Bombyx mori: one gene and its partners. The protein of the gene in region 3 interacts with the protein of the main gene of each other region in a pairwise test. Links are inferred from orthologs where the notes say so. Each region holds a gene or a part of one and is shown on either strand. Other genes may lie near its edges.

Region 1 (4,854 bases), on a different chromosome or scaffold from region 3:
AGCGTAGCCTATACAGCCTAGTCTGTCGAAGTTATATATTTTTTATGTCAATAAAAAGCCGGTGTATCTCTTTTTATTGCTTTTTGGGAGTTTTGACGTCAACTCGACGAATACCACATTGACTGAGCATGAGTTTACGCAGACCTTTTATACACAATATTACAAATACAAATTACACAATAAACTATTAAAAAAACATTAAAATAAAAATTCAAGTGACGCTTCACTCGGGTTGCTGCCAAAACTCTCTGATCATATATATGTAATAAGAATAGAGTAATGGTAGGCCATTGATATTTTTAGTAATGGAATCATTAATATCTAAAAATATTAAATAATTCATGGTTTTAAGTAATACATTTTATTCAATAATTCAATATTTATATTACAATATATAAATATTGAATTGAACAAAAATAAACTAAGAAGCCTGTGAATTATAAGCATTAGCTATTTTTTTTTAATTTGTTGTTCAAGTCACAAACAACTCTTTCGTTTGACAGCATATAGGTTTGCTATAAGGCTGTATGGGCTAAGCCCTTTGCCTATTGGCGAATTTAAAGACTATGGCATGGATAGTTTTGGGATGTTATCAAATAAGTAATTTATTTTTTTGGAAAACAATGCCAGGTAGAAAGAAATGTTGATACATAAACTAAACAACGTGAAAAAATAAGGCATAGTTTTTCAAGTACAAATAGTTTTGACATAAAGTTGGCCCACTTTTGGGCATTGTCCTTTACTAATGCAAGGGTACCGCAAGCCCGTCCAGGCTGGAACCTATACTATTTCTTTTTTATTGCTTAGATGGGTGGACGAGCTCACAGTCCACCTGGTGTTAAGTAATTACTGGAGCCCATGGACATCTACGACGTAAATGCGCCACCCACCTTGAGATATAAGTTCTAAGATCTCAGTATAGTTACAACGGCTGCCCCACCCTTCCAACCGAAACGCATTACTAAACCATTTTTTTTATGAATGAGGGATTACTTGCGGCCCAGAGACAGAGGCCTTTCCAGTTACACCAGGACAGGTGGGCAAACTAAAATCACTGGAGATTGGTGACATGTGATTTGAGATGATACCGTCATCTCATTCATACCGAAGCAAAGCTCAATGTAGGGCCTTTTCAGTAATCATTTCTGCCTTGGACCACCCGGCTCTGGAATGAAGTCCCCATGCGAATGAGTAGCAAAGTTTCACTTTTAAAATAACTTATAATTTTAATTAAACTACGCGGACGTACAGATTAGCGCATTTGGCTTATACCACTCATTCCTGTAGGTATTTTTTAAACCACATATTCCATTGAGATTGTTTTGATTCATATCATCGTAGCCCATGATACAATCTCAAATGAATACATAAACGTACCGATTATAAGTAGATTTTTTGCATTTGAAGATAAAAGAACAAAGCACTGACAGCAGCTAATGACACAAATTAACAACGTCACCACAGTGAAATGTCAAGTTGGCATTTGGCAGTAACCTGACTGTTTACGATTCCGAAAAGCAGTACCTAAGGAGTGAGTCAGTCATATTTGATATTTGTAACATACCTACCTTTTTAGTAGCTCTTTCGCTCTTAATTCGTTTGAAATACGGTTGTTTCACCGTAAAACATTAAAAAACTTATTTTCCTCCTGGAACGTGCATATTAACAACCTAAATGTCACGACAATCATGACAACATCGATACCAATGACCAAACCTAAGTGATATTTAGGATCTCATTCAATGAAATTATTGCAAGAATCAATAGTGTATAACGTGTGTAGACCTTGAGCTTTTATTAAAGGTAATTGGTTTGTATTCCAGACTACATAATGTCGAAGGAAAAGTCAGAAAGTGTAAACGGCGATAGTTCCACAGTTGCTGAACAAAACGGTGAAAAACGCATAGGCTGTGCTCATTACAAACGGCGAGCGAAGTTTGTGGTGAGTTTGTATATTAATTGCGATGTATAAATTCATATACTACACACATATTTCAGCTAGAACACCTCGGGGTACAAAAGACGCGTTCTAGATTCTAATTATAAATGTCACGTAGGAATCTCGAGATGGTGAAATGCGAAAATACGAAAACAAAGTGAAGTCAACGAACCTCCGATTTTGGCCGTGATCCTTATTCTAAATAAAAAAAATGTACAGAAAACAAAAGCATTAGACGAAGCATTGATTTAATTCTTTCTAGTCATGTTCATGTATATGTCCAATAATTACGCGCTTTAAAAATGATTTGTCTGTTGATGTAAATGAAAAGAACACTATATATTGGACTAAGCTTATTGTATTATCAAAATATGCATTCAGATTGGCTTAACCACTTTAGAAACAGGCAATAATGCTTACCATTTCACTACATTACAAAATATATCTTTTGAGGTTGAAATATAAACAAATAAATATTCTTACACATCACCAAAACCAATAACAAAGAACTAATAATAAAAACAAATCTGCTTTCTAGACTCCATGCTGTAACAAAGTGTACATCTGCCGTTACTGTCATGATGAAAACGAACAACACTATTTCAATAGGAAGACTGTTACAGAGCTGATATGCACCGAGTGCGACACAAGACAAAAGGTGCAGCCAGAATGCCAGAACTGTGGAGTTAGGTTTGGAAAGGTAATGTTGCTTTAAACTCGTGAGATGTAACAGTGATATTAAGAAGTTGTTAATAGGATGCCAAACATATTTGAGTAACTAGACGATGACCAAGCTTTGCTCAGTTTTTTTTTTATAACGCCATCTTGTTGTGTCTTTAAAGCGGTTAGTTGCCCTCAATTAAGAAAAATAATATTATTCGCCAATAGATTATTGAAAACACGAATAAAACAACATTTTCTGAAAATAAATCGTAGCTATATCGATTTATCGCCCCTGAAATCCCCTGTATACTAAATTTTATGAAAATCGTTGGAGCCGTTTCAGAGATTCAGATTATATATATATTAATATACAAGAATTGCTCGTTTAAAGGTATAAGATATGTAAATGTACCAAAATGTAATAATATGTCATTTAAGCCTGTAGTACCCTATAAACACGATTGCTTGGCCACTAGAGCAAGTACAGAACTGAAGCTTGAACAAATATTGTTCATGCATATGTTACTGAACCTATCAATACATTCTAAAGCAGGATACAGCTTAAATTCATTCAACAACATTTTGTCAAATTGTCACTAGGAAGCACTAGAAAGCTGTCAAGGTAGAGGGGGAAGAGTTTGACTGAAGAAGACATGGATGGGAGAACTATAGACTACTTAACATAATAGTAGTAGGACATATTTTAAACTCAAATAAAAAGTTACCACTATCACTATCTGGTGTTAAGAATTCATGCACTTCAGTTTAAAGGATTGGACAGACCTTATAGAATTCAAATGTGACCTCATGTTTCATCTGATGTCTATGGGCTCCTTCAACCAATTAACACCACTTAAGTTATAATAAAGCACCCCGTCTACCAAGATTTTATTTTTAAAACCTGCTGTCTATCAGGTATAAGATCTACGTAAAATTAGCATATAGTTGAGCAGGAAATGGAGATTCATTTCTATTAATATATAAAATCAAACATATTTCATGTTTGTGTAAAGACAAAAAAAGCAATACCCCTATTGAAATTAGAATTCAATGTCCTGTTTGCAGTGGAGAATCAATAACTTGTAGTTTACCCGACGTACATCACACATTAAACAAATAATGTCATAAATAAATCGAGTTAACTGTAAGACCTTGGCAAGTACATAAAACGTCTGTAGATAGTGAAGATGTTAATTAAAACACACTTACTTTATTTATTTTGATAACATCATGTAACAAATGCTTTTTTTGTTTACAGACAGTGAATTATTTTTCTTTAAACAATGTTTTTTATTGCTCGTGTAGGTAAACGAGCGTACCGCCCACCTGATAGTGAGTGGTCATCGTTGCTCATGGGCGTCACCAATGCCAGGGGCAGAGCTAAGCAATTGCCTGCCCGTTTAATACTCTCCACAAGCCTCGTTTGAAGAAGGACATGTCATAGGGTTGGGGAACCAATAATATTTGAGCAATATCCTCAGTGGTAGACGGCAATTTATTATCCACTGGTTTTAGCACTTGGAATGACTGTGTCTTCAATGCATCCATAATATTCACTTAACTTCATTATTGAGTACTGGTAGGTGTACTGATTGCGCTACCAATGTCTTAATATTACAGTACACTTGTTTGATCTGCAACCTGTTTGATGATGAAGATAAGAAACAGTATCACTGCGACGGATGCGGCATATGTCGTGTAGGAGGCCGCGATAGGTTCTTCCATTGTGAACGCTGCAACATGTGCCTGCCTGTTCAGCTGCAAAGGGTCGGACATAGGGTGAGTCAATTGAAAACTAATCTGAGTGCAGTAATCCTCCAAAAATCCATTAACAGTGCTTTTAGGTCCCACAAGCACCAATCACCGCCCTCGCCGAACCCGTCTTGCGACGAAGGGCTCGACGAGCGAATTAACCCATAGACACAGCCCAGTGAGTTTCTCGCCGGATCTTCTCAGTGGGTCGCGTTTCCGATCTGGCGGTAGATTCTGCGAAGCACAGCTCTTGCAAGGGTCAGTGTCAGCAACACTCCAGTTTGAGCCCCATGACCTCACCTACATGTTAGCAAAGCTGAAATAACCTCTTAAGGCTATCAGTATAGGTAAGAAAAAAAAAGCAGTAGTCCCTAAAGTATTTGTCTGATATTCATTCTGATGTAATGACAGGATTGTCAAAACAAAATTTAGATGTTTAAAATTGGCTGTCTCTCTATAGCAAGGACTCCCAAACTTATTTTGTCTACTGCCCACTTTGA
Region 2 (4,605 bases), on a different chromosome or scaffold from region 3:
TAAATGATACCTATTTTTACTTTTATTAAAGGATAAAGTTCAAAATTGTTTGAATATTCCTAAAAGAAATTTAGTTACTTGTTATTGGTTTAAATGTAATTTATGTAATGCCTTTAAGAAACTAGTTTTCTACCTGCGGCTTTGTCTGCATAGACCAATCTTTATGCTCAGCAGTAATGAAAACTATATACATAGTCTAAATTATTTCCCATGCTTCAAATTATTTCCAAAACTACTCACAAGACCCTACAGTCGTACACCTACAAGGGTAATATAAAAAACCACGTCCAGTGACTTTGTTTCATTTTCGCACACTTATGCGCTTTCATAGACACTAAGAGGTTAATAACTACCATACATATTTAAACCTCAAGAAACACTAAAATGAGAACAGTAAATAAGTTACATAACAAAGTTTCTCACGTTCGTGCGAAGAAATAACAAAAATACCGTTCGTCTTTCTTAAAATTCTGTTTCTGGAGATCTTTTTCATGAAAATGTAATCTGCGTCACTGTGGAACTTCATGTTACACCGGTCACTCACATGTGCACGAATACGCAAACCCACAAGTGTAGGACGACATTTGCGAATGATTACGCAAAGATTTCGCTGCATTCGTGGTTTTCCAAGCTGTGTCGGTTTTTTAACAGACATCAAAGCGCGCGAACCTCGAACCTTCGCGTAGTCTCCCACATATTCGCTTGCCCAGTTGCGCCGACGATTGCGAAGGTCACGGACGTATACTATACGCCATTTTCATAGTTCGTAACGTCTGTGTAGCGTATCTTCATCAAAAGAAATCCCATAAAAACAGCATGGCTGTTAATGATGTCTGGGAAAGAATTAAAAACTCTTTTTCTCTTCAATGTTCTATTGACGAATTAAAAAGGAGGAGAAATTCGTGAGACATTCGTAAACAAGTGTAGGAGGAAGCGCAAACGGGTTCGCAAATTGAGTATGCGAATCCATTTGCACAGCCGCTAGGTTTGCGAATGAATGTTTGACGGCCCTTCACATGCGCGCAAACATTCGTACAATGTACGAATATTTGCGCGCATGTCAGTGGCCGGCATTATGATGAAAAAAATATCATAGATAGTACACCTAATATTTGCACAGAAAAAGTATGCTGGGCTAATTTCATAGACTATTATGAGATGCTTACGCATGCTAATACTAATAGGTGTTTAATCTATGTATCTATGTTGGTCAATCATTTTATTTCACTTTATTTATCTATTATTTTGGAAAACTGTACGCGTTTTTTTATGCTTTAGTATTCAAAACCTATTTAGAATATTATGAAATATCTTGAAAGTCTTAGTGATTATGCTTCAAGAGTTCAAGTGGAGACTGATATAGTGTAAATTATTTATTTAATTTGAAGCATTATGTGGTCATTTTTCTCTCGAGATCCTACAAAGGATTTTCCGTACGATGTTGGTGAACCCGTACCAGAACTGGAAGACAGAAGTGTTTGGACATTACACAAGGGGAAAAAAAGAGGTACTCAGGATGAAGTATCAATATTTTTGTTCGACGTTCAAAAGAATTCGGAGACATTGTTTGACATAGCAAAAGCTTCTCTGAAAAGATTGAAGACTACGAGACACCCTAGCCTTTTACATTATTTAGATAGCTGTGAAACTGAGAAATTTTTGTATATAGCTACTGAATATGTAGAGCCTTTATCAACTCATTTAGAATGTATGAGGCTTGAGGGTCAGCAAAAAGACCTATTTCTTGCCTGGGGCGTATTCCAAATAACTGTAAGTATTGATTTAAGTATTCAAATTCGTTATTAATTTAATAAAGTATAATGATAAAAAAAAATATTGCACACATTTCTAATAAGCTTTCTAAATTATACTTTTATGTATATCGAGTGCTATAAAATAAAAGATAGAAATAATGCATCCAATAGTCTAAGAGTGCAAGTAAATCTTTATGTTCAAAAGAAATTTAATTTAAAGTTTACAAATTTATTACAATTGATATAGTCTGAAATATATGAAAAATTGATTGAGGAAATTGACATTTTCTTTATTCATTTAAATTATAAAAATTGTCTACAGAGAGCTTTATCATTTTTAAATAATGATGGAAATATGAGACATAACAATGTATGCCTCTATTCTGTATTTGTAACATTGGCTGGTGAATGGAAACTAGGGGGATTTGAATTTCTAACAACCCAAGGACATGAAACTACGAATCCCATACCAATAAAGATATTACCTGCCCTTGAAATATATGATCCACCAGAGAAGAATGACTCTGTAAAACTTAAAAGTGCAACTAAATGGTAAGTTTCATTTTGAATGACTAATTTACTATTTTAATTAATTAGTAAGATATTAATATCTCTGTTACAATGATATTACATTTATTACTGTATTCATAAGTTACTTATTTTCATACTATGTAAAAAAAATCTGGTCATTCATTTATCGAGGCATGGTGTATTTTTACAATAAACTTATAGTAATTATATGATTATGGAATTTAATTATGAACCACTTAATGGTCTAGGTTTTTCATCATTCTTAACATATAAAAAACTAAAGTATTGTTTAATAGTTCATCAGACATGTGGGGACTAGGATGTCTCATATGGGAGGCATTTAATGGACCGCTCAAAAACCAACCGGCTCTTAAAACAGTAGATAATATACCAAAACAGCTATGTACGCTGTACTGTGAGCTGGTCAGTGCTAACCCTGCTTCAAGACCTAACCCGGCTGATATTATTACCAGGTAAATGTTTGAAATAATATCTGATTTTCTTATGAAGCACTTACATACATATATGTAACATGATGTTCAGAAAGAAAGAGGAGACTTGCAAATCACAAGAGCAAAGTAAAAATTAATTAAAATTTGCTTTTTATAATACAAACTTATTCTCTCTAAAACAGGTTTATGCTGCTAAGGAATTTGAGTTGTATTGATTTCTTTATATATCAATAACAAAAATTATAAATTTTACTTTTCATTTTAGATGTCGTAAACTTGGTGGATATTTTAAAAACGATCTGATAGATACAATGTTATTCTTAGAAGAAATTCAAATTAAAGACAAAGCTGAGAAGGGAAAATTTTTCTCAAGTCTTAGTTCACATTTAGATAACTTCCCAGAAAATGTATGTGTTCATAAGATCCTGCCGCAGTTATTGACTGCCTTTCATTATGGAGACGCTGGTTCTGCTGTGTTGGCACCTATGTTTAAGGTTAGTTAGATACAATAGTATTTTTAATTCAAAATAATGTATTATCTGCAGCCGAAATTCTAACATTTACTTCACGTTTGAATTCTGGAAACTGCTGTGTTTCATAATTATATACTATGATTGTAGTAATAATAGATGTACTGTTGTATTAAAATATAATTGTTATATTATGTAGTTGTACTGTAGTTTTGGTAATTATGAAATATTAATTAATATCCACCTTTTAAATAACAGATTACTGTAACATATTTAGACTTTATCTCAACAGAATATACATATGCAAACCTCAACCTAAAAAGGAACATATTTGAATACATACATATCGTAATATATTTGAATTTCCCAAATTAGCAAATTCATGTAAATCATATTACTATATCAACTACTGGCTACTTTTTCACTAATGAAGAAATGTTTTTCGCTTATAATAATTTCAATATATATTCACTCCTAATATGTTTACAGCTAGGCAAATTATTAGAAGATCCCGATTACCAAAAACAAATAGTGCCCTGTGTTGTTAAACTATTCGCCTCTAATGACAGAACGACAAGATCAAGGCTTCTGCAACAACTAGACCAGTTCATTATGCATCTGCAGAATTCGACAGTAAGTTAAAAAAGTTTAGAATTCTTGTAAACCCCTAAAGCAATATTATACAGTACTTAACTGATAAAATCAATGAAAACAATCTATTACCTTAGCTATTCCTAGGTTTTTTTTTTTTTAATCATGGAGCATGTAACTTGTGAACAGGTTTTATGCTCCATAGGTCTACGTTAATTAATTATGTTTTATTTAATAAAGCGCCACAATAGAGCGCCTTATCATTGACTGTATAAGAGAGGCCTGAGTGTACTAATCTATGTTTATTTATTTAGGTTAATGACCAAATTTTCCCGCAAGTTGTAAATGGCTTCTTGGACACAAATGCTATTATTAGGGAACAAACTGTGAAATCGATTGTTCATCTCGCTTCTAAACTAAATTACAACAATCTGAACGTTGAAGTATTGCGGCACTTTGCCAGATTACAGTCTAAAGATGATCAAGGAGGAATAAGGTGAGAAATAAAATGCAATTAATTTTACAAAATATTGCGGATTCTAATATTTCGTCAGACTATGAAATAGTCTAGAATATTATATAGAATTAGAAAAGTAAGTCTAGAATATATAGAATATTTATGCGGAAACGCCAAAAGTCAATATAAAAATTTAGATCTGCATGTCGATATTAATGAGTCCGAAATATGAGTTGTCCTGATTCGTCAACTCATTATTGTTAGTCCAATAAAATCGCTGACCGCTTAATCGTCGTCAATTGAAAGTAATCAATTTGACATTAATCAATATGTTATAGTTTACTATGAAG
Region 3 (5,368 bases):
GGAATCATGGCTTGATACAAAATAACTTTACTAGATTATGTAAGTCTATGGTTACATTAGATAGTACACTAGGTCCACTTTGCGTAGTTGGCAGTTGAACGAAAGTGACAATGATCAAAGATTAGATATACCTCAACCTCCTATGATTTCATAGCCAAATATCGAGTTTCATGCATGCAGTTCACAAATCTTAGGAAGACCTACTTTATAAAAAAGATTAACTTAAAAGAGAGAACCAAAAACGTCATACTATTGACACAAGTGTCCTTAACAATTAAATTTATGGTAATATGATAAGTGTAAAACAAGAACAATTACCAGAATACTACAATCGGGAGCCTCTATTGAAACTGACTGGCTCTAAATTCATTTTTATTTTCAATGAGTTTTAAATTAATTGACATCTCAGTAAATCTTTATTTTTGAATTTTTAATTTCTCTGTTACCCAAACTAATTATGTTTGGTAATGAATTATTGATTTCATAATTATGCTATGATTTATTGGTATTAATTTCGACCATCTTACCTGTCCTCTCATCAACACCATCGATTATAACTGGATTATCGTCATTGAGGGTTAATGCTTCATTAATTTCATTTTTCTTTTCATTAGCAAGTTCGAGCATGAGCGTTTCAAGTTTCTGAGCCTTCCTCATTTCGTTGTGTGTTATTAAGGCGCATAAATGTTCTGTGAGCAGCTCTTTTTTTTCCTTTTCTTTTTGCAGCAGAATCTTCGCATTAAGAAATTCTTTTTCAACTCGTAAGTATTGTTTCCTGAAATATATTTAAACAGAATTAATTGATTATTGCATGTAGGTCGTAAAAATATAATATTAAAGAAGATTTTTATTAATTGACCCTTCTGGAAATAAAAAAATCAATACTAACTCAGCATCAGCATAACTTAAGCAGGCTTGATCTATTTTCTTCCTCAATACTGACACATCCTGTGAAAATTGACTGTCCAATACTTGTAGTTCTTTCTTGATTTTCTCAAGTTTCATTACTTCTTCTTCTGTCTGTTTCGTCCTAAAATTTTAATTTGATACCTGTGTAAATTGTTTTGTCTTTCTTTTCAATACACCTACTGGAATAATTTTTTGTGTTACTCTTGTGAAAGATATACTCTGCAGTAGTTTGTAATTAAGCAGACTACTCTGTGCTAGTAAAACAATACACCTTGATTTACTTGTAGAATGTTCTTTAGGTCAAGATAAAAACTAGCTTTCTGCCTCCATATAGAGGTGGTAGGCAGGGCATGTCAGAGTGGAACTGACTAAAACCGTTTATTACTGAACAGCCCACATCTGAATAAGAATGCATACCTAAATCATAGAAAATGGCATAAGTATTATATACAGCAAAAAAAGTGTCTATGTAAGAAAATAATAACAATAAAATGATAAACATTAAAATATGTAAACATTAGTATCATTAATAAATAAATATTAAAATATATTAACTTATATGATTCATAGTTTAAATGATTAACATTGATGTGTACTTTTTTTTAAATGACATTATTCAACAAATATATTATTATATTACATTTTTAAAACACTAATATTTCATTGCAAAAAGCAAACATTTATAAAAACATTTATGTTTCATCATTTCAACATTTATGTAAACTTTATCAACTTCAACGTAATTTTTCCCTTATCACTGCATGTGTTTGTAACATAATTCTAAATTGAAATCACAACTTCACATTATAACACTGTTGGCAATGTACATGACACATACCATATTGTTTTAGTGATGAGCTGGAAAAACTTTTTGTTCACCATTTTTTTAAGACATTTCGAAAATAATGTTTTTTTTAAATTAAATAAATTTAGCAGTTTAAAATGTATATGCACTGTACACATCTGTTTAGCAATTATCTTGTTTTGTATCTCAACACTGATAATGGATCTCTCAGTTCTGATAACTGATAACTAGGTGACATTCAGACAGATTTCTGATTGCATTGAATTGACACAACCATAAGTATTATAGTGCTCAATTTTAAAAAAGAATTTCTCAGTAAATTTTTATTAGTTTTAAAAATGCAAGTGTGCCCAAAAATTAAGTTAAATTAAAATTAAAAAAGTATTTGTTAACCATAATTATTCATAAATAATACTAATTTAAATTAATTAATTCATCAATCGAACCTGTCAGCTAAAGCTTTTGCAATCATTTCCTTTCTTTTCTTATTCTGTTCTTCCATAATCTTCTGTTTGAGTTGCAATTCTCCTAACTTCACTTTGTGAGAGGCCAGTTCATGTTCTGTATATTGAAAATCAACACCTCTCACTATGTCCGGAGCAGTACTACTCCTTCTACTACTTGTCATATCACTCTTGTCTGCTTCGATAGTATCTACTTGTACTTCATCATTTCCCTCTACATTATTTTGCAAAATAACTTGATTTTGTTTGTCCTCCTCCATTTTAGCATTTTTGGAGGGTGACGTTGGTGTTTTTAAACTAAGCTTACATTTATCAAAATCTATGCTGTCTATTCCATCGTCTGAATCCTGTTTTTGATTAATGGCTGTCTTATATTCATATGGCTTGGTTTTCATTGATAATTTAACTCGTTTTATATTAGAATTTTTTATGTACTCTGTAATTAAAATGGTAGTTGTTATTAAATGTAGACTGTCTCATAGGCAGTAAAAATTGTTGCATTACACACACCATTAATAATAAGGTTGTGCAAGGCACTGATATAGGCCAATCCAATTGGTGGATTATATGTTACTGAAGTAGAAATTATAGATATCTAGTAGATACGACTATGCTTCACTGACATTTGTAATAAAGAAGCAAATTTGTGATCAATTTTACTTTTTTTTTACTTTAATTTTGCTTGCACAATTTGGCTTCAGTGACTTTTATCATTTATATTTTTTCTTGAAACTCTTAGAATCATTTGGCAATCATTATTATTTAGAATATAGCTAATTTTCTTGAAGAAGCTTTGATTTATACCCAAAAATCGTTCTTAGATCTACTTATATATGTTGAGATATTAATATTTCAAATTCTAATCGCATGCGCTACTATTTAAAACTCTGAATAAGCGTTCAGTTATTGATATGCTTAAAAAAAGTATATTTCAAGCTCCATACGTACTGTTTTTACTCTCATCGGCAGTTTCGCCAGATTTAATTCTTTCCAAGTCATCTTCACTAAAACCTGTAAATTGTGACATGTTTTATTTGTTTTTACATAGATATGTCAGGGTTATGTTTTTCATATAAGGTGCATTAATGTAAAAAATTGCAAAACTCATAGATAGATCGTAAACGTAAAAATCTATATTTTCATTGATTCAACACTGATTCACATCAAATTTTTACTATTCTGCAACACTACTTTGACATTGACTATTTGACGTTATTGGAACTTTTTTAATCACGTTAGATTGAATTCTGGTCTTTTAAGCCAAAAACCCATTGAAATAGTGTTTCGCCCATTTAATTATTCGAATCCATTTAACATTTATTTTAACAATATGTACATTTTGTCTTTAAAATGGTTTGGTGTTATAGCTCTACTCTCAGCATAAGCACTTCAACACACAATGTTGAAGTTCTCGTTTTCTATTCCCAAAATAGTTTTATAAAAAAACCGACTCTACTTTCAATTATTTGATGGTTTTTAGTTAGGCCAAAGATCGTTCATACCATCTTTAATTAAACAAACTTATCTAAATGTTTTTATTGCTAATATATAGTTTTATGGAAGCTTTTCACATATTTTTTCTTCTCTTCACATTTTATCAATAGCGAATTCCTCCAAATACGTTGAGAACTTTCAGCTTAGGTGTGTCGTTTTAGTCGCTACAAGCCCTTCTCTATTAGTTAAACATATTTGAAAGTGTAAAAGATTGTGGAAATATAACAAAATCACTGGACCTGACTTCTCAGGACTTTATGTTTATATAAATTAAAGAAAATAATTACCATTTTCTGTAGTTTTTTTTTCAACTGGGCTTCAATAATAATAAGATGAAATACATACTATTATTAATTTTTTACTACATTTTTTTAAAGGGATTTTATGACCTGGACTAACTAAAACTTTTAGGTCAAGTCTTATTTTAATTTTATGTTACGTAACTTTTTTATATGAAAATTATAGAAATGAAATGAAGTTGAATAATATGAAACATGGCATGAAGTGAAATGAAAACGAAATGAAATGAAATGAGATGAGATGATATGGGATGAAGTATAATCTCAGTAAAATGGTGATCATTTACTGAGACTTTTTCAGTGGACTTTTTGGAAGATCTCGAGAACTTACGTTCAGTGGCTTTGTTTCGTTTTCCCACATTTGTGCACTTTCACAGTTACAGTTAAGCAGTTAATAAGCCACCGTTATTACACATTTAAACCTGAAGAAAGACTAATTAGACAAAATAAAACAAACCACTCCTCGCGTTCCCGCCGAAAAGTCCTAGAAAGAACTAATTATAATAAATTTTAAACTACCTGTGTTTTATCTATGGTGGTGTATTATCTATGAGTAGCTGATGGCCGTGTTGCAAATTCAATGCTTTCATAAATAAAAAATAAAAAAATATCTATGAGTAGAAATTAGCGTCGAACTCGAAGCGAAGCCGATACATTTTGAGGTTATATTTTGTATTTCTTGTTAGCCGATATTAAAGTAAGTACTGATGTTTCTTAAATAAGCAATGAAAACAATAAAGGTGGTTTGAAAATGAATTAACATCCAATTTACTTTTTAGAACCTGCAAAAATGGCGGCTGCTATGCCAATAAATCCCAAACCATTTCTTAATAGTCTAACGGGTAAATCCGTGCTAGTTAAATTAAAATGGGGTCATGAATACAAAGGTTTGTTAGTATCAACAGATGGCTACATGAATTTGCAACTTGCTAATACTGAAGAACTTGTCGATGGAACTTGTACAGGTTAGTATTTAAGTGAACAACTTTAAGTAATCACGAAAACATATTAAAGCAAGAGATTAAGATCTACTGGTAGTGGACCTGGACCAAAATTGAATTAAAAATGAGACGTTCATTGTTTGTTTGGTCTATTATGAGTACACTATTCTGCACCCATTTCGACTTCAAAGCTTTCAAGCATTCTGCTTTGAAGAGTAGATTTAATATTCATATTGTAATAAACTTATAAATTCTAGAAGCCACTTAACACTAAATGTCATGGGGTTCATTTGCCCTTTTAAAGAAAAAAAAAGTACTTGCTACAAAGAATGCACAAAATCAATAAATTTCATAACAAGAGACAACTTGACACTTACAAGATTCCAAACCAAACTTTTTGGTTGTGAATAGTTTTGTGAATTTAATTAATTTAAATTAGTAAATAAAATTTAGAAA

Evidence for each region.
Region 1: the proteins of RAB6-interacting golgin (region 3) and RING finger and CHY zinc finger domain-containing protein 1 interact in a two-hybrid assay, tested with the Homo sapiens proteins (3 studies listed by BioGRID and IntAct). The link is inferred for Bombyx mori from reciprocal best matches to the Homo sapiens genes GORAB and RCHY1.
Region 2: the proteins of RAB6-interacting golgin (region 3) and N-terminal kinase-like protein interact in a two-hybrid assay, tested with the Homo sapiens proteins (2 studies listed by BioGRID and IntAct). The link is inferred for Bombyx mori from reciprocal best matches to the Homo sapiens genes GORAB and SCYL1.

The regions. Positions count from the first base shown.
Region 1 is NC_085125.1:12,752,521-12,757,374, forward strand, and holds the start of RING finger and CHY zinc finger domain-containing protein 1, read left to right. Parts: upstream 1-1,399; 5' UTR 1,400-1,531; intron 1,532-1,537; exon of another isoform or gene 1,538-1,708; intron 1,709-1,823; 5' UTR 1,824-1,831; coding exon 1,832-1,942; intron 1,943-2,477; coding exon 2,478-2,639; intron 2,640-4,222; coding exon 4,223-4,381; intron 4,382-4,854. UniProt on the Homo sapiens protein: E3 ubiquitin-protein ligase that mediates ubiquitination of target proteins, including p53/TP53, TP73, HDAC1 and CDKN1B. Mediates ubiquitination and degradation of p53/TP53; preferentially acts on tetrameric p53/TP53.
Region 2 is NC_085131.1:8,312,314-8,316,918, forward strand, and holds the start of N-terminal kinase-like protein, read left to right. Parts: upstream 1-1,150; 5' UTR 1,151-1,392; coding exon 1,393-1,770; intron 1,771-2,076; coding exon 2,077-2,306; intron 2,307-2,581; coding exon 2,582-2,758; intron 2,759-3,002; coding exon 3,003-3,231; intron 3,232-3,696; coding exon 3,697-3,840; intron 3,841-4,112; coding exon 4,113-4,294; intron 4,295-4,605. UniProt on the Homo sapiens protein: Regulates COPI-mediated retrograde protein traffic at the interface between the Golgi apparatus and the endoplasmic reticulum. Involved in the maintenance of the Golgi apparatus morphology.
Region 3 is NC_085117.1:15,787,535-15,792,902, forward strand, and holds the start of RAB6-interacting golgin, read right to left. Parts: upstream 3,409-5,368; 5' UTR 3,206-3,408; coding exon 3,127-3,205; intron 2,615-3,126; coding exon 2,161-2,614; intron 1,031-2,160; coding exon 890-1,030; intron 776-889; coding exon 493-775; 3' UTR 1-492. Other genes in the region: small nuclear ribonucleoprotein protein F, read left to right, coding at 4,762-4,936.